Arabidopsis thaliana: one gene and its partners. The protein of the gene in region 3 interacts with the protein of the main gene of each other region in a pairwise test. Each region holds a gene or a part of one and is shown on either strand. Other genes may lie near its edges. The genes, in order: AT5G51160, ELIP1, AT4G12000 and AT5G67130.

Region 1 (5,223 bases), on a different chromosome or scaffold from region 3:
GAAAGAGACGCCATTGAATTCGTAAGTTTATTTTATTTATTTGTGTTGCCTAAGATTTCGATTGTTGTATCTCTTTTCTTATAATGCTTCTACTTTTTACTTTGTGCATAGTGCTTGAAAAGTATATTCCTTATTATGACTTTGATTAAGGGTGGAGCAGAGTCTTAGCAGGTTCAGTTGCGGGTTTGTCTATCTTGGCTTTAGATGATTCCAACCAGCGTCGCACACTTGCTCTATACCTCTTGGCTAGATTAGGCCAGGTACATCTAATGGTCATAGTATTGTCTGTCGTACAGAGTAATATCACCACACAGATGTTTTTTTCGGAGTCTGATTTTTTCTCTTATTAATAGGCGGCTTATAATTCCGCTAAGTCAAAGAACAAGTTCCATCTTTGGGGTAGCCATTGGAGACATGGAGATTCGTTACTTTTTTCTCTTGCATGTGCTCAGGTATTTGAGATTCTTCTCTTTTCTTCCTGTTCTAGTTAGTAATGGAGATAGTATAGACGTTGAAAGACATTTTTGTGTACCATACGTATTCTCTCCAATGTGATTTGGTAGTGATTATGGTCAGCAAGCTAATTTTGTTGCAATGAGGTCGGTGCAGGTTATGTATTCCTTTATAATGCGTCCTGAAACCTTGCCAAAATCATATAGAGAATTTATTCAGAAGACTGGTCCAGTTGCAAGGCCTGTCTACCAAGCTGTAAGAGAGTGCTGCAGAGGTGGTCCAATTGATGTAGCCTCCTTGTCAGCCTATATTTCTAGTAAAAACGAAGCAAGCGACGTGAAGGTGGAAGAGTTTGCTTCCATCATTCCCTGTGCAGCTATTCATCCAAACACTAACTCGTGTCTGGCCCAAAATGCTAATGCAATGTCAGCTACATTCAAGAAAACATTTCCATTATATTTCTCCCTGACTTTTGTCCCATATGTTGTTCTACACCTACAAAAAGTAAGACTGTCCCTCAATATTTGCCGTTTCAGTCTTTTAGATTCCTATGGTTTATGCATTAGTCAGACATGATATGTAGTTTCTGATGCCATCCTACACTTTCATTTCAGTTCATGGCTTCTCCTTACCGGACATCTTGGCTTGCAATCAGAGATTCAGTTAGATCGACGTCCTTCTTGTCTGCTTTTGTTGGGATTTTTCAGGTAGCTGGTTTTTACATTTGATTTGTGTCCCCTCATTTCATACAATTCACATAGTTTCCTAAAACCATTCCCAAATGTATGTGCCTTCATCCCATTTGCATTAGGCTTTCATATGTGCCCATAGAAAAGTTGCAACCAAAGACCACAAGCTCGTTTATTGGTTTGCGGGTGGTGCAGCAGCCCTCTCAGTTATGCTGGAGAAGAAACCGAGACGCTCTGAGCTTGCTCTATATGTTCTTCCCCGAGCAGGAGATTCTCTGTGGGAGATACTTGTTAATCGCCACCTTCTTCCCGACATTAAAAATGCTGAGGTACAATACAATTACAAACCACTTTTGTTATTTCCAACTTTCTTCCCCTTTGAGCAATGGAACTGATGTTTTATACAATTAATGGAAACAGGTGGCTTTATTCTGTGGATGCATGGGAGGAATAATGTACTACCTCGAATATGAACCTGATACAATGGCTCCGTTTCTGAGGGGACTCATCCGTCGGTTTCTTGCTAGCCAAATAAGCAATCCTAGCAGCAAATACCCTCATAGTTCGTCCTATTCTTATCTCCAGACCCTAGATGCATTGAAGAAACCGAAAACGCAGGAGAGCCGAGAAGGCGAAACTCCGAAAGCCGAAGAAAAGTATAACTTGGAAGCAATTCCCGGTCTTTAGAAGTATAAGCAGAAGCTGTCTGATACTATATTAGCACCTGACGTTGAAATTGAGCAAACCAAAAAGGACCCTTTACGGAATCATGATTTTGATTGTGTTTCAGGAAGTTAATGTGAAACTTTCCAGAAAGAAAGGGTTCCTCCACACAGAAAACTTAAGAGATTGAAGTGATTCATAGGATTTAGGAGCCTGTTTTTTATTTTCTTTCACGTAATAACAACAACTCCACTGTCTCTTCTTTATTTCAATGAGAAGTAGCAGAATGAAGAAGATTTATGGCAAGCGAGTCAAGCTGTCTTGATTTGTTAACACCAACACAGTGTTGAAACTTGAAACAGATCACTAGATATATTCCTTTTTGTCTTGTTATAATCTTGATCTATTGCTTAAAAACTCACTTCAAGAAAAACACAGTTTTGTTTAGTTTCCTAATGCAAGTTCTCTCAACCGATGGAAAAAAAGTCAATTCGTCTAAGATTTGACTCTCATACCCAAAAACTATTGTATTACTCAAATTGTTGAAATTTCATCTGTATTGGTCGGAGCGGATATGAATTTGCACATACGATGATCTCAGGGTCAGAAAATCAAAAGATAAAGTAATGCAAACAACTGACACTTGTAAGCATTTGTTCCACTTTAAGGAATACTTCATATGCTACAAAGTCAAATGTCAAAGGGAGTTTTGTAATAGAAAATTTCAAACAAGCGTCGTGATGGTACACACCTTCATTGTATATTCAACTCGATCTTCTCTCTCTCTTTCTTCTGCATCATCACCAAAATGGATGCTTTTGAGACTCATTTACCGAAGGAGATCGTCTCTGATCCTCTCTATAACTCCTTCAACCCAAGGAGTGAAGAGTATGTCGTCGCCGGAAAGATTCTCAGGCAGCGGTCAGTCTTTGACTTGGACAAAAACGGGTTTAGCCCTCTTCATGCAGCTGCGGCAGCCGGACAAGTAGAGACTGTGAGGGCAACTTTGGGGGTTGAAAAGAAGCTTTGCCGCTTAAAAGATAGAGATGGAAAGACTCCTCTACATGTGGCAACGATGAGAGGGAAAATCGATGTGATCAGAGAGATTGTAGCGAGCTGTGTTGATTGTTTAGAAGACGAGACCGTACAAGGTCAAACTGCTTTGCATCTTGCTGTTCTGCACCTAGAGATCGAAGCAGTCATAGCCATTGTTGAGTTGATCACAGAGACAAATCGATTTGATGTGTTGAATAAGAAAGATGAACAGGGTAACACTGCTCTTCATCTTGCAACCTGGAGAAAAAATCGCCAGGTACGACGAATTAAGTTGCGGTTAAATAGTTTTCTTCCAGTGGAATCAAACTCTGTTTTTCTTTTGCCTACAGGTGATTGAAGTGTTGGTTCAGGCAATACCAGAAGAATCAAGGTCATTTGAGGTGAATGCTATGAACAAGATGGGTCTATCAGCGATGGATTTGCTGGTTATGTTTCCGAGCGAAGCTGGCGATAGAGAAATCTATGAGAAACTCATCGAAGCTGGAGCTCAGAGAGGGCGAGACATTGGCACTACTAATGTCGAGAGAACCACTTCTACTTCCACATGCCAAGAGAGAACAATGAAGTCCCAAAGCCATAAAGAACTTGTCAAGTACTTCACTTTCAAAAAGCACAGAGACTCACCATCAGAAGCACGTAGCGCATTACTAGTGGTGGCTTCACTAGTCGCCACAGCCACGTTTCAGGCCAGCTTGACCCCACCAGGTGGAACCTGGCAAGATAGCTCAATACCTGCTGTATCCCAGAACACAACGAATGTGAATACTACAAATCAACAAGCTCATACAGCAGGGCAATCTATCATGGGGACCTTCAATGGAGTTGCTTTCACTTTGTTTGTGTTCTTCAACACAATTGGGTTTTCGGTTTCACTGTCTATGCTCAACATTCTCACCCTCGGGTTCCCATTGCGGTTCCAGCTTCAGATCTGTATGATTGCTATGTATTTCTCGCACAACACAACCATGGCCAGCATTGCACCTGATCATGTCAAGCTTTACTGCATTCTCATCACATCCATCCTCGCTGCTACCACCCCGGGTTTGATGAGGTTGCTCGAGAACCCTATTGGTATGCTCGCTCACTTCTTGGACTCCAGGTCACAAAAAATTTGCTCCATGATTTCACTTTCATGTAAACGTTTTGTAACATAATAGTAGCCAGTTCAATATCTACCTTATTTCAAATCACAAGGACTTGTTGTTGCATTGTCCAGAAATCACCAATGTTATTACGAGTGATATTATGATATATGGAGACTTTTTTCTATGAAGAGACATATATTATGGAATACCCAAGAACACAGATCAACTCATCCTTCTATGTCGTTACAAATGCATACCTGATTGGTCTGCAAACACAGAAATTTGAGATTTTCTTATTCATCTGGGAGTTTACATATTTTGTGTGTTTTGTTTCCTATCTTACACTCGATCCCACAAAACTTAGAGGTGAAGATACGATTCTGCACACAACCACCTGCTCTAAGCTTCCTAAGTTCCACGTCAACAGCTCCCTTTAGGGAAGTTCTAATATCACCCAACGCCCAGACCAAGGATATATGCGGCCGCGGATCCTAAAAGAAAAATTGAAGCAGACTCGATGGGATAAGTGTCCATGACGATTTTCATTGGCTAAACAGTAAAATACAATCAAGCTGTAAAGTACTATATAGAAAAGCAAGTGGACCTTGTAGAACTCCGGCAGATTGTGGAGCTTGTAAACTTCATTAACAGCATCAATTTGCTTACTTATCTGAATTAAGGATATGATAATCAGTACAATATCTAACACAAGGTACTGAGTATGCAAAAATCCAACATTCAAGGTTAACTCTTGTTGTACAACATACCTCGGATAGTCCTGAAGTAGTGATTTCCAAAGAAAGGAAAGAGCGAGTATGGTCATCATTCACAAAGACTTCCCACTTATTGAAATCTATCAAGTATCTGTCAAAAACAGAACGGAAAACAATTCACAAACCCCATCGTAATTTGGGTAGTATGGTAGGCAAGAAATGATCTTACCTCTTCTGCAACTGAAGCTTTTGCCGAAGCATAGAAATCACCGAGTTAATCTGATGAACACGTAGTGGAACGTTTCTTCCTAAGCTTATGTGGAACTCTCTCCCCAAGGCACGCTCAAACTTCTGATCATCCTTGCATAGAATGCTGAGTGGCACATCAGCCTCTACCAAATGAAGATGAGGAACAACTGATGCAACCTTCTTTAAAAAACATACAATCTCCTTCTTTGGCAGTGGAGGTATACAAACTAGAATCCCAAAAACAAAATAAACAATGAGTGAAAGAGAAAGACAAGTGATACACTTCATCAGGCCTGCACTTCATCAATACATTCT
Region 2 (4,640 bases), on a different chromosome or scaffold from region 3:
TGGGAGTCACGTAAATTCTGTCTGTTGATTTAAGATTTGCGTATACACGTGCTCTGCTGTTTTTTTTCATGACTCACTGAGTCACTTCATTGCTAGATAACATTTTTAGAGGCTTTTTATTGAATTTTGCCCATATAAGATTCACACTTTTCTTTTGATTACTTATAAATTCTACTGATAACAAACTCTTTTATGATCTCACGTGAAACGTATAAACAAAATAATCTTAAGTCATTTAGTAAGAGAATTGTTATACAAAAGAGAACAATCCATAACTAAACCAATGGAAGCTATTTTCCCTGCATACATGTAAAGAATCAATATTTTCTAACTGGACTTAGGAAATGAGGGATCTCCAATGAAGCCATTGGCCCAATTATTTGGAATATGGCCCATTTACTTTACTTCACGCATGCTCGTTTCTTTTTAAATGTTAATCACTGTCCACTGGTCCTCTCTCTATGTACTGTTTTTCCGATGACCGAAAAAGTATTTTATTATTTCAAACGTAAATTATGTTTGTGTTTACATATACCTTTTTTTTTATGTATTCAGGATAAAATATTCTTAGATTTTCATACACTAATTTTTTTTTTGCTTGATATTTAAGTGATGTCTAAACATATATAAGATCTATCGGTATATGATCTATTCAAATGGCAATTAGAGTTGGTAAATTTATTATCTTCCCCAGCATTAAGATTTGAGATTCATTCAGTTTGAAGATTCTTTGATATTTTGTGTATTTTTATTTTAGTAGTTACGCTTAATGATATTGATTTTATTTTTAACTAAGACTTTTCTGAATCCACCATTTGTTCGAATTATATATCATCTATAGTGGATCACTCACCACTTGTTTCGTCGGCAAATGAAAGATGTGAATTTTCTTAACATTTTTTTTCTTTTTTTCTTTTTATAAGATGAGCATTAAATGTAAAACTCGATAGTAGGTGAAATCGTGTATTGTTATTTGTTAGGTTCGCAATTATGATGACAGGCCATTAATATAATTTGGCCTTGTAAGTCACATATTGTATGGTTATAATTTCTGAAAGTTTTTGGAAGGCGTAGAGCTTTATAGAACACCACTAATTTTAAAGTGTTTTTAACCCGAAGTTTCAAAATGTCACTTAGTACACATGTATAAAACACACAGTAGGCCTAACACAGATTACTTTACAGAGAAATTACATGGGCAAAATCGTATTAAAACATCCTCCCCATAACGTGCTCTCTTTTCCTTAGACGAGTGTCCCACCTTTGACGAACTCAGTGAACGCCAACGCGACCAAACCGAGCATCGCGAAACGTCCGTTCCAAAGCTCAGCGTCTGACGTCATGATACCTTTGGACTTGGACTCAACGCTTATGCCCTTGAAAAGCGGCACAAGCGACGCAAGTGTCAAGATCGCTGTTGTACCGAGGAACCATGAGACGCCACCGTCGGAGATCTGAGCTAAAACGTTTTCACCCTTGGATAGCTCGACAGCCAACGCCGCAACGAATCCAACCATCGCTAAACGTCCGTTAATCCTCTCTGGTGCTGGACCGCTAAACGCTAGCAAGTCGCTAAACTTTGTGCTCACCTATATTCACCACCCCAAAAGTTATTAACAAAGATTCACAAATAAAGCTTGTTTAATGAATTTTCAAGATTGTATGTTCTTAATATCTAAGACCCGATTAATTAAAATACAAATTCTTGTTTATCAAAACTTCTAAAATTATACCTTAGGTTTCATAGGAGGAGGAGGAGATGGTGACTTCGGCAACGGCTGAGCGGCCGAGGTAGATGGTGCTGGTGAAGAGTCTTCATTCGTGGGTCCTCCCTGAAAAAGTCAAATAATCAGACGGTCAGGATTTCATAGTCACATGATGAATGGCCGTTGTATCAGGGAAGTGGAGAATAACGTACCTCAGCCATGCATCTCACTCCCACCGGATAATTCCTCTTGAGGTTAGGGAAGCTACCGGCGGAGAAAAGCTTGTTGGTGTTGATCTTGCGAGTGGTTAATCCACCGGCGAAGACTGATTGCATGTTGAACGATGCTGTTGCCATTTCTAAAGCTTAGAACTACTAGTGTGAGAGAAATTAAGAAGAAACTTGGAGTAGCTAAGTGATTATCGCTTAGGTTACAGAACTTTAAGCTAGATCGTGTGTAGAAGCTTGATATGAGTAACGAATGATCTTACGTATGTATTTATAGGACGGGTGATCAGAAATGATAGGTCATTAGGTCGAGTTGTTTCCTGAACTTTCTTTTAGTTATTTACTTATTTAGCCTTTCGATATTGATAAGTTAATATAGTTCACACAAAAATAACCAACGGTCAAAAACATTACACGTGAATCATATAGTATTTGAAAGGTTCACTATCTAGGTTGAAGGATCAGCGTTCAAATTTTCTTACTACAATTTTTATTCTGATTTGTTATTAAACTGTTTCAACTGGATTAATTAACACACACCAAATTCATTATAAGTCTCACATAGTATCATATTCTTTATTGTTATACGAGTAGTAATCAACAAAGTCATTAAGTACATCACCTCGATAAAAAGCCAATTCTATGGAAAAATTAATATGGACAGTTTATCTACATTTCATATTCTTATGAACTAAAACATGCTAATTATTTTATTTGGATCTCCAAGATTTTTGGACATCCAAATTATTTCTAAACTGACTGACTCGTGTATTTGGCCGGTCCAAAACAAAACACGTAGGCTCCAAAAGTGTAAAAGAGGAAGCTGCGATATTTAAAGGAACCACGTTGCTTAGATTGTCCCCACGCATAACATAAATTTAACTTTTGAAGGACAAGGAACAAAGTCCATGGCGTGGCCTACTCATTCGCCACAGTTTCTTCTCACTTTTTTGGCCAAGTGCCAAGTGGGTTAGGTTAAAAACGTAAAAAAGATTCTCTCCATCTCCCAAAAACATGTGGCTCAAAAACAAAGCATAACATTGCTTTCGTTTCTAGAATACGTTCATTTCATTACACATCTCTCTTTATGCTTTTGGAACTTAGCTGAGTTTGGATTCAGACAGGCCCATACTTAGTCTGGCCGAGTCCGTGACTGTTCTCTCTTTGTCCCTTTCTACGTGGCCGATCCTAACTCCGTCAGTTTTTTGGTAATATTTACGGTCGTTTCAAAATGTCAATAACTTTACAATTAAATGGAGATAAAGATTATTTACTGTTAAGAAAAAAAAGACTATTTACTCTTACAGTCATACGTATCTCATAACGGGCCGTATAGGGCTCATTAGGCCCATCAACTCTAGCTTCCCTAACCAAATCATGTCTTTCGCTCATATATGTTCGTTTCTAATGTAGTGTTGACCAAATCTGCAAATTGACATTCTGATCATTTTAGTCTTTGATAACATATGAAAGAAGAATTGTCATTCTCAACCTAAGGAAATTTGGAAGGATTCACTTTTACATGGTAACACAAAGAAGAAAACATATGATTCTTTAGATTTTGTTCCCGGAAATAATGATTTCTTAGAATATAAGTACTTTGACATTATTGACCAAATAAATAAAAACTACCTTGACATTATTATGCATACATAACAGTCAATTCTTTTTAACACATATCAATGGCGTAGATAAAAAAAACTTCCAAAACGTACATTAAGTCATTAACCAATATATATACAAAAATCAAAAATTTTTTGTAAAAACAAACATCACTGAAACACTTTTTGAAGTAAAATTTTATCAATTTAATCATAATTTAGATCGTATTTTACTTACATTAAAATTAGTAATATTTTTCTCTAACTCTCTTTAATGACCAAAAGCCGTTGACCAATAAAATCTCCCCGTGTCGTCATAAACCGGTTTTAATTTCCGGTTTGGTAATCTAAGTCGCAATAAAATCCTCTTTGTCTTCTTCTTCTTCCTCTACTCGGCGAATTCTCTCGAGAAAACAAACTGAATTTTTTTGATCGAAGAAGATCTAAAAAAAAAGATGGAGAGACGACAAGCGAAGATCCATGTCTTTGTATTGATAGGTCTAATTCTATTGAATTCAATCAATCAAATCTCATCTCTCTCTGTAACGGTGAACGACGAAGAATGTGTCCAAGAGTACGTCCTTTACGAAGGCGACACTGTTTCCGGTAACTTCGTCGTCGTCGATCATGATATCTTCTGGGGATCCGATCATCCTGGTTTGGATTTCACGGTTAGCGATCTTTCAATTTACCTTTTTACCCCAAAAGTTCTTAACTTTGATACGTTTCCTTCGATAATCCCAATGTTTGATTTATCGTGAAATTGGTGTTTCTCATGCTTAATTTTGACCTGATCTGATCTTTGTAAGGATGTGACAATTTAGGGTTTGGTTGGGATTGTGGAAATTTGCTATCTTTGATTGGATTGGATTGGATTTTGGTTAGGGTTAATGTGTTGATTGATTCATTGGATTGTGTTTGTGTAGGTGACGTCACCAGCTGGGAACATTGTACAGACTTTAAAGGGAACATCTGGAGATAAGTTTGAGTTTAAGGCTCCAAAAAGTGGAATGTACAAATTTTGTTTCCACAATCCTTATTCTACTCCTGAAACTGTCTCCTTTTATATTCATGTTGGTCATATTCCTAATGAGCATGACTTAGCC
Region 3 (6,082 bases):
TAGTTGTATTTTTAAAAAAATTGTAATTGTAACTTGAACAAAAATTTCATATAAAAATGAGTCTTAAAATATATACTTAAGATCTATGATTATTAATTTATAATATTATTGGGACTATAATTTTACATAAGGATTTTTAAAAAATTATTATCTTATTATCTTATCAATTTGTTAATTTTTACATTGGCCCGACTTGAAACCGACAAAATTTATTAATTTATCGTGTTTATTAATTTATCGAGTATTAATTTATAGAGTTTCTACTGTATTTTGATAGAATCCATCAGAAGATAATGCTCTTTCTAAATATGCGGACAGAATTGAACCTTTTTTTTTAACCATTAATTAGTGGTGATAATCGAACCATTTTCATGACCAGATTAATAGGGTAATTGTGTTCGGGCTCTAATATTATTTTAAGTTTTATAGGATTTCAACTACAAATTAATTGACAATGAGTTGATTGGTAAGTTACTTATATACTACTCAAATCATTTTTCATTTTTTTAACTTTCTAATGTGAGATCTTTTTTTACGGTGTATGGTTTACACTGTTATTTAAAATTTAACGAAATATTTTGTTATTTGGTGTCCACCCAAATATCCTAATTAAAGCCTAAAACTTTTAAGACATTGAATGTAATGTGTAACATTTAAAATCTCTTGAATGTGTAACTGAATTTGAAAGTCATTTTCCTATAGAAAAGCATGTGTTTCACCAGATGACAAATTACCATTAATGAGCAATGGATTTTATTCGCATGAAAAAGACACATAGATAGACTGTTGAAAGTGGTACCGAGTCAGAAGCATATATAGTTTAATTCAAACCAGAATATTCAGAAAATGCAAACTACATTAAGTCTTGACATGTAACTTTTTTACTGCTGATTGAATACACATACTTTAATCTAAAAGAAATATTTAGAGAATAAGACAAATATTTAATTTTGTGGTTCATAGGTAGGACAAAATGTAAATGGCTTTACATATACTTTTAGACAAAAGTGTTTCAAAGGATATTGGGTTTTGGACCAAAAGCATTTTTGAAGGGAATTAAGACAACATTTATTTCGGGATGAGAGTAGTTGAACATATTTGTTGTGTTATAGGACTTAGGAGAGCTTCAAATGCACCAGTATAAAAATAAAAAAAAATAAAAAAACTGAATCAATTATTGATCGATTCTTGTAAGTATATCTTTAAAATTTGAAAAAGCTTATGTAGAAAATTGGTTTATATTTAGCTTCATATTTTAGAATTATATATATTTCACATAAAGTTATTTCAATTCCACTTTGTATCTTATGCAAGAGACAAATGACTCGCAGAAGCACTTCATTTTCTAGTGTGAATTTTCAAGCAGAATATAGATGTCCAAATCCGATACTAGAAAAACCGCAGCTTCAAATCCCCAAGAACTCTCCATATAGTTCTTCTCCTCTTATCTCTCGCACTCTTCACTTGGGCAGATTCACACTGGTTTCACAAACCGCAAAAAAAAAAAAATGGTAATTAAAACAGTCTTTGATTAATTTTAGTAGAAATCCATTTAACAAAAGATTCGATTTGGTCTAGAATAACTCCATTATTTCAAATTGAAAAAATATAGATCATACATATTGTGATGAATCATAGCTAAGGTTTCTTCTTCAATTCCACCATTTAATATGTCGAACGCATAGCAATGTCGTACTCGTAGGCTACAAATAACTCTTGACCATTATAGTTCGAAAAAGAGACGCATTTGATTTTGATAGAAACAATTAAATGGCCATCTAAGCTATATTGGGCTTTTTCTCAATGCAGCCCATAATATTCGAAGTGCAAGTTTTCACTAGTCACCTACGAATATCTGACACAACACTTGCACTATTTACCAATTAGACAATTTCCAATCTTCATAGTTAGTTCATACTTACTAGAGAATATAAACGAGAAAACGAAGGAGGAGTAATGATCTTAAGTTTTCAATTGATCCATTCTTTTCAAACATCAAAAAACAAAAGATTGAGAAAACGCAAATAAGATTAAATCGTGTTAGAGAGTTTAGTTAGTGTTTATATAGTCATTATAATTTCTTTTATACCCTTTCATTTCTCGGCTATAAACAAACCAAAACAGAGACCAAAAATCAAGAGTTCTTTCACATCATGGACGAAAACCTGTACTTTGGGAATAAGCAGAGACATAACTTCTGAGGTTGTTGTCTCCATTACTGTAACAACAAAGCTTCCTTCTCCTTCTTCATAACTTCAAGCTGTCTTTTCGCATACTTAGTGATGAGAACAGTTGTCACAACAGTTGCTACAAAACCAAAAATGTTGAGAACAATTTGAAGAATCGAGAGACCCTTTTGTTCCGCAGTGGATGCATCTGCCAATGTCCTTATAAGAATCCCTCTGCAAACACCAAAACAAACAAAAATACTATCAGGATGCTAAATCAATCATTCATTCATTACCAAGAAAATTGTAAGTCATTTCCACACTTACGTATAAATTGCGACAAAAATCTCCGGCGCCATGCCTACGAGAGAACCAGCCATGTAAGGACCGAACTTCACACGAGTTGCAACAGCGCAGTAATTATATACAGCAAAAGGAAATGGAGAAATCCGGATTAAGGTAACTGCACGAAACTGATGAAACCAACTGCCTCCACCAGCAGCTCTCAACATTGCAGCTTGATCTGGATATCTTTCTAACCAACCCTGCAACATTCATCAATTTCAGCAACATACAAAGTAGTCGTTACTAAGAATATAACTGGTTCTTAAGCGAGACACATACTTGAATTTTGTTGAGGAAGAGATAGCTGATGAAGTAAGGAAGTGAAACACCAATAGCTACAGCTGGAAGAGTAAGGAGAAGGCCATAGAAATAACCAAATGTAATCCCAGCCACCCACATTGACGGCGTAGTTGGAATAAGTATCACAGGGAATAAAGAGACTGATGCAAACACAAGAATACCGCACACAGGGTGTGTAAATGTCTCCATCTCCCATTTTATGAGTGGGATTAGCTCCTGCAAACAAAAGTTAAATGGATAATCCCATAATCAGCAACAGAGCCAAATATGTCACTGACTGAATTTGTCACCAGCATCGAAAATCTACCGATTTTAGACACAGAACATCAACAACGAAACCTCACTTTGGTTATTGGATACTGAGCTAATCGTAGGGATACATAGTTTCAATTCACATGAACCAAAATCATAAAGGAACCTCTTTTATACACTAAGGATCTAATTCAGTAGTTGAAACTATAATCAAACCCAATAGATAAAGAAGAAGACTTTCAGAAGAAGATCAATTCAACAAGAAATCATTGGAGGAAATTGAAAACCTTATCCATGATTAAAGGGTATAGCCATTTGTAACCAGCGAGACCCAAAGCAGTTAGAAAAGTGAAGAAAAGACCAAGCTTGATCCAAAACCAAACAGATCGTTTCTGTCCACATGAAGAAGAAGAAGACGGTGATGATGAAGATTCTTGTTCTGTTTCTTGTCGATGTACTTCGAAATCTTCAGTAAGTTTAACATAATGACCTAATTTATCAACTCCATCTTCTTCAACTCTAACTCGAAATTCAGAAACTGTATCGTCTTCTTCGTGATAAGTCATCGAGTAGAAAAAAAGAGAGCGCTAGATTAGTAATCGACTGGATTCTCCGATCGGATTCAGAGAGAAAAACCCAGTGATGGAAAAATTGAATGACTCAACGAATCGAAAGAAACCTGGGGATGAAGGAAGGATTGAGAATAACAAATAAAGAAGATTTGTGTGATTTTGGAGAAAGATGAGTTTTTTTCTTTTTTCGGTTTGTTTGTTAATGTCATGGCTTGACGCATGTACCCATTCTTTTAAATTATTTTCTTATTACTTTATGATTTCTTCCGTCGTTACTTGCATTTTTTTATATTTTTTATTCAGTTTACCAAAAATTCTAGGAAATATAAAATAGTTATTTCACGGTTGACGAAAAATAATAAAATATGTAGTTTGAAAACACCTGGACCATGTCGGCATAAAAGCGTGTGGATATTGTTAGAAAGAAAAAAAATAATAATTTAAGGCCCCTACCAAATTTTACATTGTAAGATTTTAAGGTCTCAAAATAATTAGGGACAAATATTTTGGTGTAGTTGTAAAATTTGTTTTGATTGGGAGGTGTATATTATAAAACCAGATTTTAAATCCGTAATATACCGCATGATAATTTTTTTTTCTAATATATATATATATATATAAAATATAAAATTTTAAATTATTTATCTTTATATAATATTTTTTTTGTTTTGTTTACGATTGTTATTAAGTAACATATACCACGAATTTAAGAACAATAATTAAAACTTGAGGATTTAATTCGTATTAAACCAGCATATTACTGATATTTTAAAAATTTATAAATATTGATTCAAACTCATCTACTATAATCCGTTCCACAATATAAACCGTCTTGTAATCTCTTAACTCATCTCATGTAATATTTAATAAAAATATTAAAATTAAAAATTATTTATTATATATAAGTTTTTAAATTATATCATTTTCTGAGATATTTATATTTTATAATTTAATTGTTACTAAAAACATTATATTACTATATATATTTTATTTTATATAATTTTTGTAAATCAGACTGATTTATATGTATAATATTGATAGTATCAAAAAATAATAAATTTAAAACTTAAACTATATTAAAACAATATATTAATGATATTTTAATTTTTTTATTAATATTATTTTTAAAATTCGTTCCGTTAAATTTGTCTCGATAAGAATTTATTTATTTTATTAATATTAATATTAATCTGAATTACTATTTAAATATTATAGTTAATGTAAAATATTAAATACATATATTTTTAAATTGAATAATATATGTTGGTTTCTTACTAGGCATTACTAGACATTCATCAACGAAGTGAGATGGTGGCCATACACGTGGCCACAAATAAGGAGGTTAGCTTGTCGCGGGTTTCCCACTTTTTGAGCTTTTATTTTAATTTTATTATACGTGTTTAATTTCACCGACCAATAATCCACTGTGGTCGACATTCCGTATTCTCCGTGGACCCGGTTTTCGCAATTTCCCAATTTCCTCAATTTCGATTTGTCTTTGTCACCACAATCTGACGACGCCATCGCCGCAATGCCTTCCACCACCGAAACGGCAACATTTCCGATATCTTTCCCGCGAGCTACTTTTCTACTGTTCCGAGATCGAATTTTCTTCTTCTCGACTCGTCACAAAAACGCCTATTCTCACTTTCACCGCTCTTGGATTTTAATGGATATCTCTTGAAACCTCTCCGGCCATCTTCTCTTCGGCCATACTCTGAAATTTGGATTCCAAATTTATCAAAATTATAAATTTGATGGAAAAAAACGTGAAACAAGATTCACAAAGTTTCAGAATCCACGAGGTTGGTTGATCCAAGCAATCTGTTTTTCTTCTTTCTCCTGAGATTAAAGTGTTTGTTTAGAAATTGACTGTGCTTTGACATGTTACATCATTTTCTCCAGTATATGTTTAATCTTTGAAAATTGGTTTGGTATGAAGTTTCAGGTGACATTATGCCGTTTGAGATTTACATGTGAGGTTTATGCAACCATACAATGCACTCTGAGTGATTTGACAACCGTGGTAAGTGCTCTCTTAACTTCTATGTATGTGTGTAGTTCTAGCTCCATATGTGGAATCGACATTTCGAAATTAGCTTATAGCTCCAAAGTTCGGTTCTTTCTAGCTGCATAATGAAAGCCAAGATATTCATTCACAAGTTTAAAGTTCTAAGATCATCTTTGTTTTCTTGTTGTCATTGTTGATCTTTAATAGATATACGGTTCTTGAATATATGGATGCACATAATGATTACCTGATTATTTTAGTAGCTGTCCATAGTTTAAATCAGTATTGCACATTCTCTCTTTTTCTGTTAATGGTGATGTGTACTGACATTTAATAAAACAAAATTTTTGACATAACTTAAGATTCTATCTCACTGTGATCTTCTCCTCCTTCCTTCTCTTACAACCTGGTTCTTCACCACCAACAAACTGGCA
Region 4 (5,958 bases), on a different chromosome or scaffold from region 3:
GATTGAAGTTTTTGGTGAATTTTGGGGTTTTTAGGGCAAGTGGTGTTTGCAAGAAATGGAGAAAAGCTGTAAATCAATCGATGGCGAGAAGAGAAACTCTGAGCTTTGCTGGTTGGAAAATGGACGATGATTCCACTTCTCGTCTCGTTCATCTTGCTTTCAACCTCAAAGAACTCGACATGTAATCTCTCTCTCTTTCTCTCTGTTTTGCTCTTTGTTTGTTTCTTGTACTATGATCGTACTTGATTTGTCCTTCAATGGCGGATTAAGAGTAAACAAGATTGGTGGGATAGTGGAGATTTGCTGAATTTTTTGGTCAAGTTTCCAACTTTACCTTTAGGGTGTTTGAGATAGGATATTGACTTGGTCAAAAAACAGAACAGAACTATAAACTCTGTTTTTTTCTTCTTTCATATTTGAAGATCTCGAAGCAGATGGGGTTGTCATATAACTGATAATGGTCTTTACCAAATAGCTTCTGCAAGATGTGTATCCAATTTAAACTCTGTCTCTTTATGGGGCATGACCGCCATTACTGATTCTGGTGTTGTTCAACTGGTAAAATCTAACACCGTTTTTTGTGCACTGGAATCTTGAAGATTCCTTTTTTGTTTTAATCATTTCAGAGAATCTTGATTTTGATTTGACAGATTTCAAGAACTTCCTCACTGCAACACCTAAACATAGGAGGAACATTTATAACCGATGAGTCTCTTTTCGCAATTGCAGAACGCTGCCATCAGCTTAAGGTAACAACAATCATCTAACCAAATAATTCTCTCTAGATTCATGAGAATCACGCTTTCGAAATTGGAATCCTTTATGCAGACAATCGGAATGTGGTGTTGCCGTCATGTGACAGAGAGAGGCCTTCTTGTTCTTGTAAACAAATGCAGAAAACTCGAATCCATCAACTTATGGGGAACTAGAGTTCCTGTAGATTGCTTCATTGCTTTACTTACCATCAGTCCTGCTCTTCAGATCAAACCCATGGAATTGCTTCTCAATGCTCAGAATCCACCACCGTTGCTGCATGCTGTCTAGTGTTGCTCATCATATTTCTTGTTTGTTGTGTACATAGTAATTCATACAATTGAATCTGCATATATCTTATGTGTTCTCTCATCAATCAACAACATATATATATAAATATTCAGTAAAGTTTCTATTGGAGTAGAATTGTGTCTATATATATATATATATAAGTTGCATAACAATCAACAGAAGCTGAAGACACACATACACAAGATTTCTGCCTATAGCTCTGCAGTCTACAATACAAGAATCAAATCAGAAACTCTTTCTAAGGCAATTCATGTCAACTTAGGCTCTCTCATTCGTTCTAAAGAAGTGATCAAGATTCTCTAACCTAAGAATCTCTCCACGTGGTTTGATTGGTTGTGTCATAGTAGAAATATCAGCAACGGAAGCAATGAGAAGCAGAAGACAACAATGTTGTTTAGTTGGGCCACAGAAGCTAAAGATCTTGAGAACTGAACTGAACCTGAGTAGCTTCCACCTGAGTTGCTTCCAGCCGTTGAATCCATGCTTGGAGTTCTTGTCTGTACAGTAACATTTTTGCATGAACCATAAGCTGCTCCTGGCTGCAACATCAAGAACCAAAATACGGGTGCCGGTTTTAGATAATTTAGGCTTGTAAGATCTTATTTCATACCCATAAGTAACTTTGGCGCGAGTTAATAAGTTAATACCTGGCAAGCAGAAAGAGTTTCACAACCGCAAAGTACCGGTCCATTCATTCTATCCAGAATTTCGAAAACGCCGCCTCCATCACTTCTCTGCAATATTATGGTTTGTTAGCTAGATCTCGTAAAAACAGTCATATTATAGTTATATGATTGATTCAGTACCATGTAGAAGTTAACAGCAAGAAAGTTTGGCATTCTATTCCCTCCTGACTTGAGACAAGTCCCAACCATCTCAGCAAGTGGAGCTGAGTGCTCCTTGCAAGCGTCTTTCTCAACCGGATATGTCGGGAAGTAATTCATCAAGAATAGCGAAGAACTTTTTGAATTTAAAGGTTGAGACTCTTTTCTGTTAGGACAAGAACCTCGCTTCACTCCGGGATCCCCAGCTTTAGACAATCATAAGAAAATGGCAAGAGAAGGTTATTCTCAGAGACAATTTTCATTAAAGATATAAACTGTGTGTAATACGCACATTCATTTTCAACCATGTATCTCCACTGATACGCAACGCCTTCTTCATCTTCTTTGGCAGCAACAGAAGTGAAAACCAGGAGCCTATGATTCTCTTGCACCATGTCAGTCACAGTAGGCCAATCTTCTCCCTTTCTAGGCATTTTCGAAACAGGGAACCAGTATTTGTCCAAACCAGCGTTGGCAAACAGTGTTGATAAGCCTTTAGGTCTGTGCACATAATCCTCTATTATGATGGTAACAATCTCTGTTGGGTTTTGACTCAGAAATGCCTCAACTTCCCTCAGTATGTTAATTGCAGGTTGCTGATTCAAAAAGAAAACAAAGTTCACATTTACCAATCCAATCAGGTTTCAAGCTTTCGATCCAGCAAGGTTAAGCTGAAGATAAAACTTACAAAAGCGGTGAAGTTGAAACATTGCCCTCGAAGCGAATGGCAAAGCCAGATATCATTGTTGAAGTCATACATATCCAGCATTAGCCCTCTAACTCCATTCTAGAACAAAAATATACATTCAAGAGTTTTATCCAAAAAAAGAGGAAACTATAATAAGAGAGTTGGTAATAAGAGCATTACTTGTAGCTGATTAGTAATAGTATCTTCTTGATTGTAAAATGTAATCCTCTCAACACCTGGCAAAAGTGGTGCATTTGCATTGCTAAAGGCATTATGAGTCATCAACCATGTATACTTGTTAAAAGGCAATCCATTGATCTACAAAAAACACACACACAAATTTCATCACCACATCTTCAAAGTTCAAAACTTTTGATACAACCAAATGATCTAGACTATCTTTTAATGCAACCAAATGAAATCTTCAGCAAAACCCATCTTCAAAGTTCAAAACTTTTGATAGACCAAGTGATCTAGACTATCTTTTGAAACAACGCATCTTCAAAAATTGGAAACTCTAGAGAAATCCAACTAATTATAGGAACTAAATCTCACAATGGAAGTTGGACTTGTGGCTTGGCCTCTTGTGCAGACGGGTTTACTTCTTCCAACGGCAGGACAGTCTCCACAGTATAAACCAGAGACACAATCAGTAGCCGAGGAGCATGAATCCAGCAGCTGAAAGAGACACAAAAATGCAAAATCCCTAAAGATTTAGACCCAAATTTGATAGCCATAAACCAGAGAATAATAAGCAAAGAGAATCAAGAACCTGGCAATTTCCATTGGAGCAAGCTGAGGAAAAAGAGAAAGAAAGAAGAAGAAGAAGAAGAGAGACAGTCACGGCTCTGCATAAGCCATTGATGCACGCCGACATCGCTCCGTAGCTTATGCAGAGATAGAGAGAGAGATATGAATGATGTTGGATCTACTTGGGGGGGTTTTCAAAGACGAGACAAAGAGATGTTTAGGTACTAAAACCCGGGCTTCATCGATTTGTTTTGTTAATCCTTGAAAGAGAGGTACAAAAGAAAAAGATTAGCTTTGGTTTTCTTTTTCTAAGACAAGGTTGAATCTTTTTCCCACCTAGCTCCTAGAGAGAAAATGAAGAAACGATTAGTAAAGAAGATAAACCACCTTTCAAAAGGAGTTCAATTTTGAGCATAATACAGTTTAACATTATAATAACATAACTCAAAACTACAGTTTCTAGTCTTGTACACCAAACATATGGAGTGACATTTTTGTCAAGATTTATGGAAACAGTGATCTTGTAAGAGTTTATCAATATAAGTAATAATGGTTTTATATTATTTCTTCTAGTTGTTAGGTGAGGTCTATCATAAAAAAAAAAAAAATTATTTCACAGATCACTATTTTCATTCTCTAAAATTTGCTCAGTTATAAGATTTTTTCACCTATTATTAGATGAAGATATCTTTTTTCTATTATGGTTAACGGTGCTCACATGCGTGGGGACACTCTTGTCTTGTTGCTTGTCTCTTTGCTTCTTTCAATGAAAAATGTTACAATTTTCATCATCTTACAAAAATTACTCAAACATCTAGGTGAAATTTTATTCTTAACGAGATTTATCATACCATGCCTATTTCATCTGCAGATTCGTCAGCAAGTGACGTATCGAATTAGTGACACTCTTAACGATCAAATGATTAATTTCCATTAAACCAAAAAAAAAAATGATTGATTTCCATAACCGATTTATTCACAATTGGTGATTTAACACACAAGTTGCTGTAATATACTCTTGATGTGTTTTTAACTTGAGATTTTTTTTTTAATACACAAAAAAAAAAAAAAACTTTTGTAGTTTGGACATTTACGTCCATTGAGTATGACGTCGTCGTCGTGTAAATTCTCTCTCTGCCTCTCGCTATAACGCTAGGCCCATTTACGTATTTTACTGAGCCTTTTTAGTTGGACCCAAACTCTCTCTTTTTAAGCCCATGACCCAAGTAATGTAATTAATCATCTTGTGAACTTGTAAATGAGGAAAACAAGATGCATATCTCCGGTTTAAAAAGCGTTTTAATGACGTTGAAAGCAAATATACAAAGCCAAAACATAAAATTTCCTTCCTTTTTTTGTTGAAAGCAACATTTATTATTTTTTGTACTTATTCACTCTAAAATGATATTTTTCCATTGAAGAAAATTCAATAAAGAAATGTTTTTCTATAAAAAACCAATTCAACTGTATTAGAGCTATAATTAAAACAGAATCCTTATTTTCAATAAAATAAATCTTCCGAATCCAGCTAAAGTTCCATTTTTATTAGCTGTCACAATTTTTTTAATTGAATTTTTAACATTTTGGGACTTCAAACTACCCAACAATTGTAAATCAGTGGTCTTTTTCTCCTTGAACTTTTTTTTGGTATAAACCTTTTTTCCTTAAAGTTGCTAAATCCTTTTATCCATGGAGGCACTGAAAAGTGGGTTATATGCATTATTTATCGTTTAAGCCTTAATTTGGTATATATATTTTTCCTTTAACTGAGCTACAATATATTTAGTGGTTTTTCTTTGTTCATAACGTCTTTATTTTTTCTATTACTTTATCAATATTAAGACTATCCTGTCCACTCAAGTATTTGCATTTGAATGGAAGAGTTAAATGGTGATGATACTTGAAAGTGTTAATTATCTATATAAATTCAGCTTAATCTAGCCCCTTGAAAAAAAATTTTGAGTCAGGTAATATGTTTCTCCAAAAGTATGGATCCAAACGAAGACAATTCTGAGATACCGGATAGTCCTTTTAGCTTCATGTGGCTACTATTTGGAGACGACTGGGATCTATGGGACACTTACTCACCAGTTGATGCTGATGACATCTCACCAGATCCAACGCTTGATGTGAACGGTGATGGTCCGGCAATAGAGCCCGGTTCCCTTCTGAGGACAATTAGTTGGGTAATTATCTATTATCTAATGTTTTTTTTAAGAGAAATAATTTATTTGGATATAATATAGACATGAAAATTGTTTAGGAAACAACGTTCGAGCAGGACTCGTTACAATCATGGAACGATGAACAATCTGAAACAACATCAGTAGTAGAGTATACAGATGTATCTTCTCATGGAAACACCTTCACTAACGAGGTATAGTATAAATCTAGACTAGATTAACTTTTGATATGCAAATCTCTTAGCATTTCAAATATATTTCAAGAGTTTATGAATCAATATTGGAGGAAATAAGATCCAATATTATTGACATTTGAAAGAAAAAAAAAAAGGATTTTGATTTGTTTTGACATTCCGTGATTTTACGTAATCATTTCCCTCGTATCTTGTTTGGTTTTAAATTTTCTGTTTTTGCGTGGGAAAACATTGAATGTCACTTAATTGAGTAA

The links.
Region 1: the proteins of AT4G12000 (region 3) and AT5G51160 interact in a protein complementation assay, tested with the Arabidopsis thaliana proteins (one large-scale study listed by BioGRID).
Region 2: the proteins of AT4G12000 (region 3) and ELIP1 interact in a protein complementation assay, tested with the Arabidopsis thaliana proteins (one large-scale study listed by BioGRID).
Region 4: the proteins of AT4G12000 (region 3) and AT5G67130 interact in a protein complementation assay, tested with the Arabidopsis thaliana proteins (one large-scale study listed by BioGRID).

Annotation. Positions count from the first base shown.
Region 1 is NC_003076.8:20,789,667-20,794,889, forward strand, and holds AT5G51160 (Ankyrin repeat family protein), read left to right. Parts: upstream 1-2,406; 5' UTR 2,407-2,613; coding exon 2,614-3,117; intron 3,118-3,190; coding exon 3,191-4,015; 3' UTR 4,016-4,175; downstream 4,176-5,223. Other genes in the region: AT5G51150 (Mitochondrial import inner membrane translocase subunit Tim17/Tim22/Tim23 family protein), read left to right, coding at 1-21, 161-260, 354-452, 610-957, 1,068-1,160, 1,265-1,471, 1,563-1,829; AT5G51170 (U6 snRNA phosphodiesterase-like protein), read right to left, coding at 4,240-4,437, 4,551-4,616, 4,714-4,810, 4,889-5,135.
Region 2 is NC_003074.8:8,083,384-8,088,023, forward strand, and holds ELIP1 (Chlorophyll A-B binding family protein), read right to left. Parts: upstream 2,287-4,640; 5' UTR 2,063-2,286; coding exon 1,919-2,062; intron 1,833-1,918; coding exon 1,734-1,832; intron 1,590-1,733; coding exon 1,245-1,589; 3' UTR 1,022-1,244; downstream 1-1,021. Other genes in the region: AT3G22845 (emp24/gp25L/p24 family/GOLD family protein), read left to right, coding at 3,990-4,205, 4,461-4,640. UniProt on the Arabidopsis thaliana protein: Prevents excess accumulation of free chlorophyll by inhibiting the entire chlorophyll biosynthesis pathway (e.g. 5-aminolevulinate synthesis and Mg-protoporphyrin IX chelatase activity), and hence prevent photooxidative stress.
Region 3 is NC_003075.7:7,191,312-7,197,393, forward strand, and holds AT4G12000 (SNARE associated Golgi protein family), read right to left. Parts: upstream 3,906-6,082; 5' UTR 3,632-3,905; coding exon 3,353-3,631; intron 3,030-3,352; coding exon 2,793-3,029; intron 2,714-2,792; coding exon 2,496-2,713; intron 2,403-2,495; coding exon 2,216-2,402; 3' UTR 1,222-2,215; downstream 1-1,221. Other genes in the region: AT4G12005 (uncharacterized protein), read left to right, coding at 5,395-5,442, 5,580-5,774; AT4G12010 (Disease resistance protein (TIR-NBS-LRR class) family), read right to left, coding at 6,014-6,082.
Region 4 is NC_003076.8:26,789,095-26,795,052, reverse strand, and holds AT5G67130 (PLC-like phosphodiesterases superfamily protein), read right to left. Parts: upstream 3,755-5,958; 5' UTR 3,455-3,754; coding exon 3,350-3,454; intron 3,256-3,349; coding exon 3,133-3,255; intron 2,896-3,132; coding exon 2,758-2,895; intron 2,677-2,757; coding exon 2,578-2,676; intron 2,486-2,577; coding exon 2,182-2,485; intron 2,096-2,181; coding exon 1,872-2,095; intron 1,800-1,871; coding exon 1,713-1,799; intron 1,605-1,712; coding exon 1,404-1,604; 3' UTR 1,171-1,403; downstream 1-1,170. Other genes in the region: AT5G67140 (F-box/RNI-like superfamily protein), read left to right, coding at 35-181, 423-558, 651-749, 829-1,044; AT5G67120 (RING/U-box superfamily protein), read left to right, coding at 5,316-5,513, 5,591-5,704.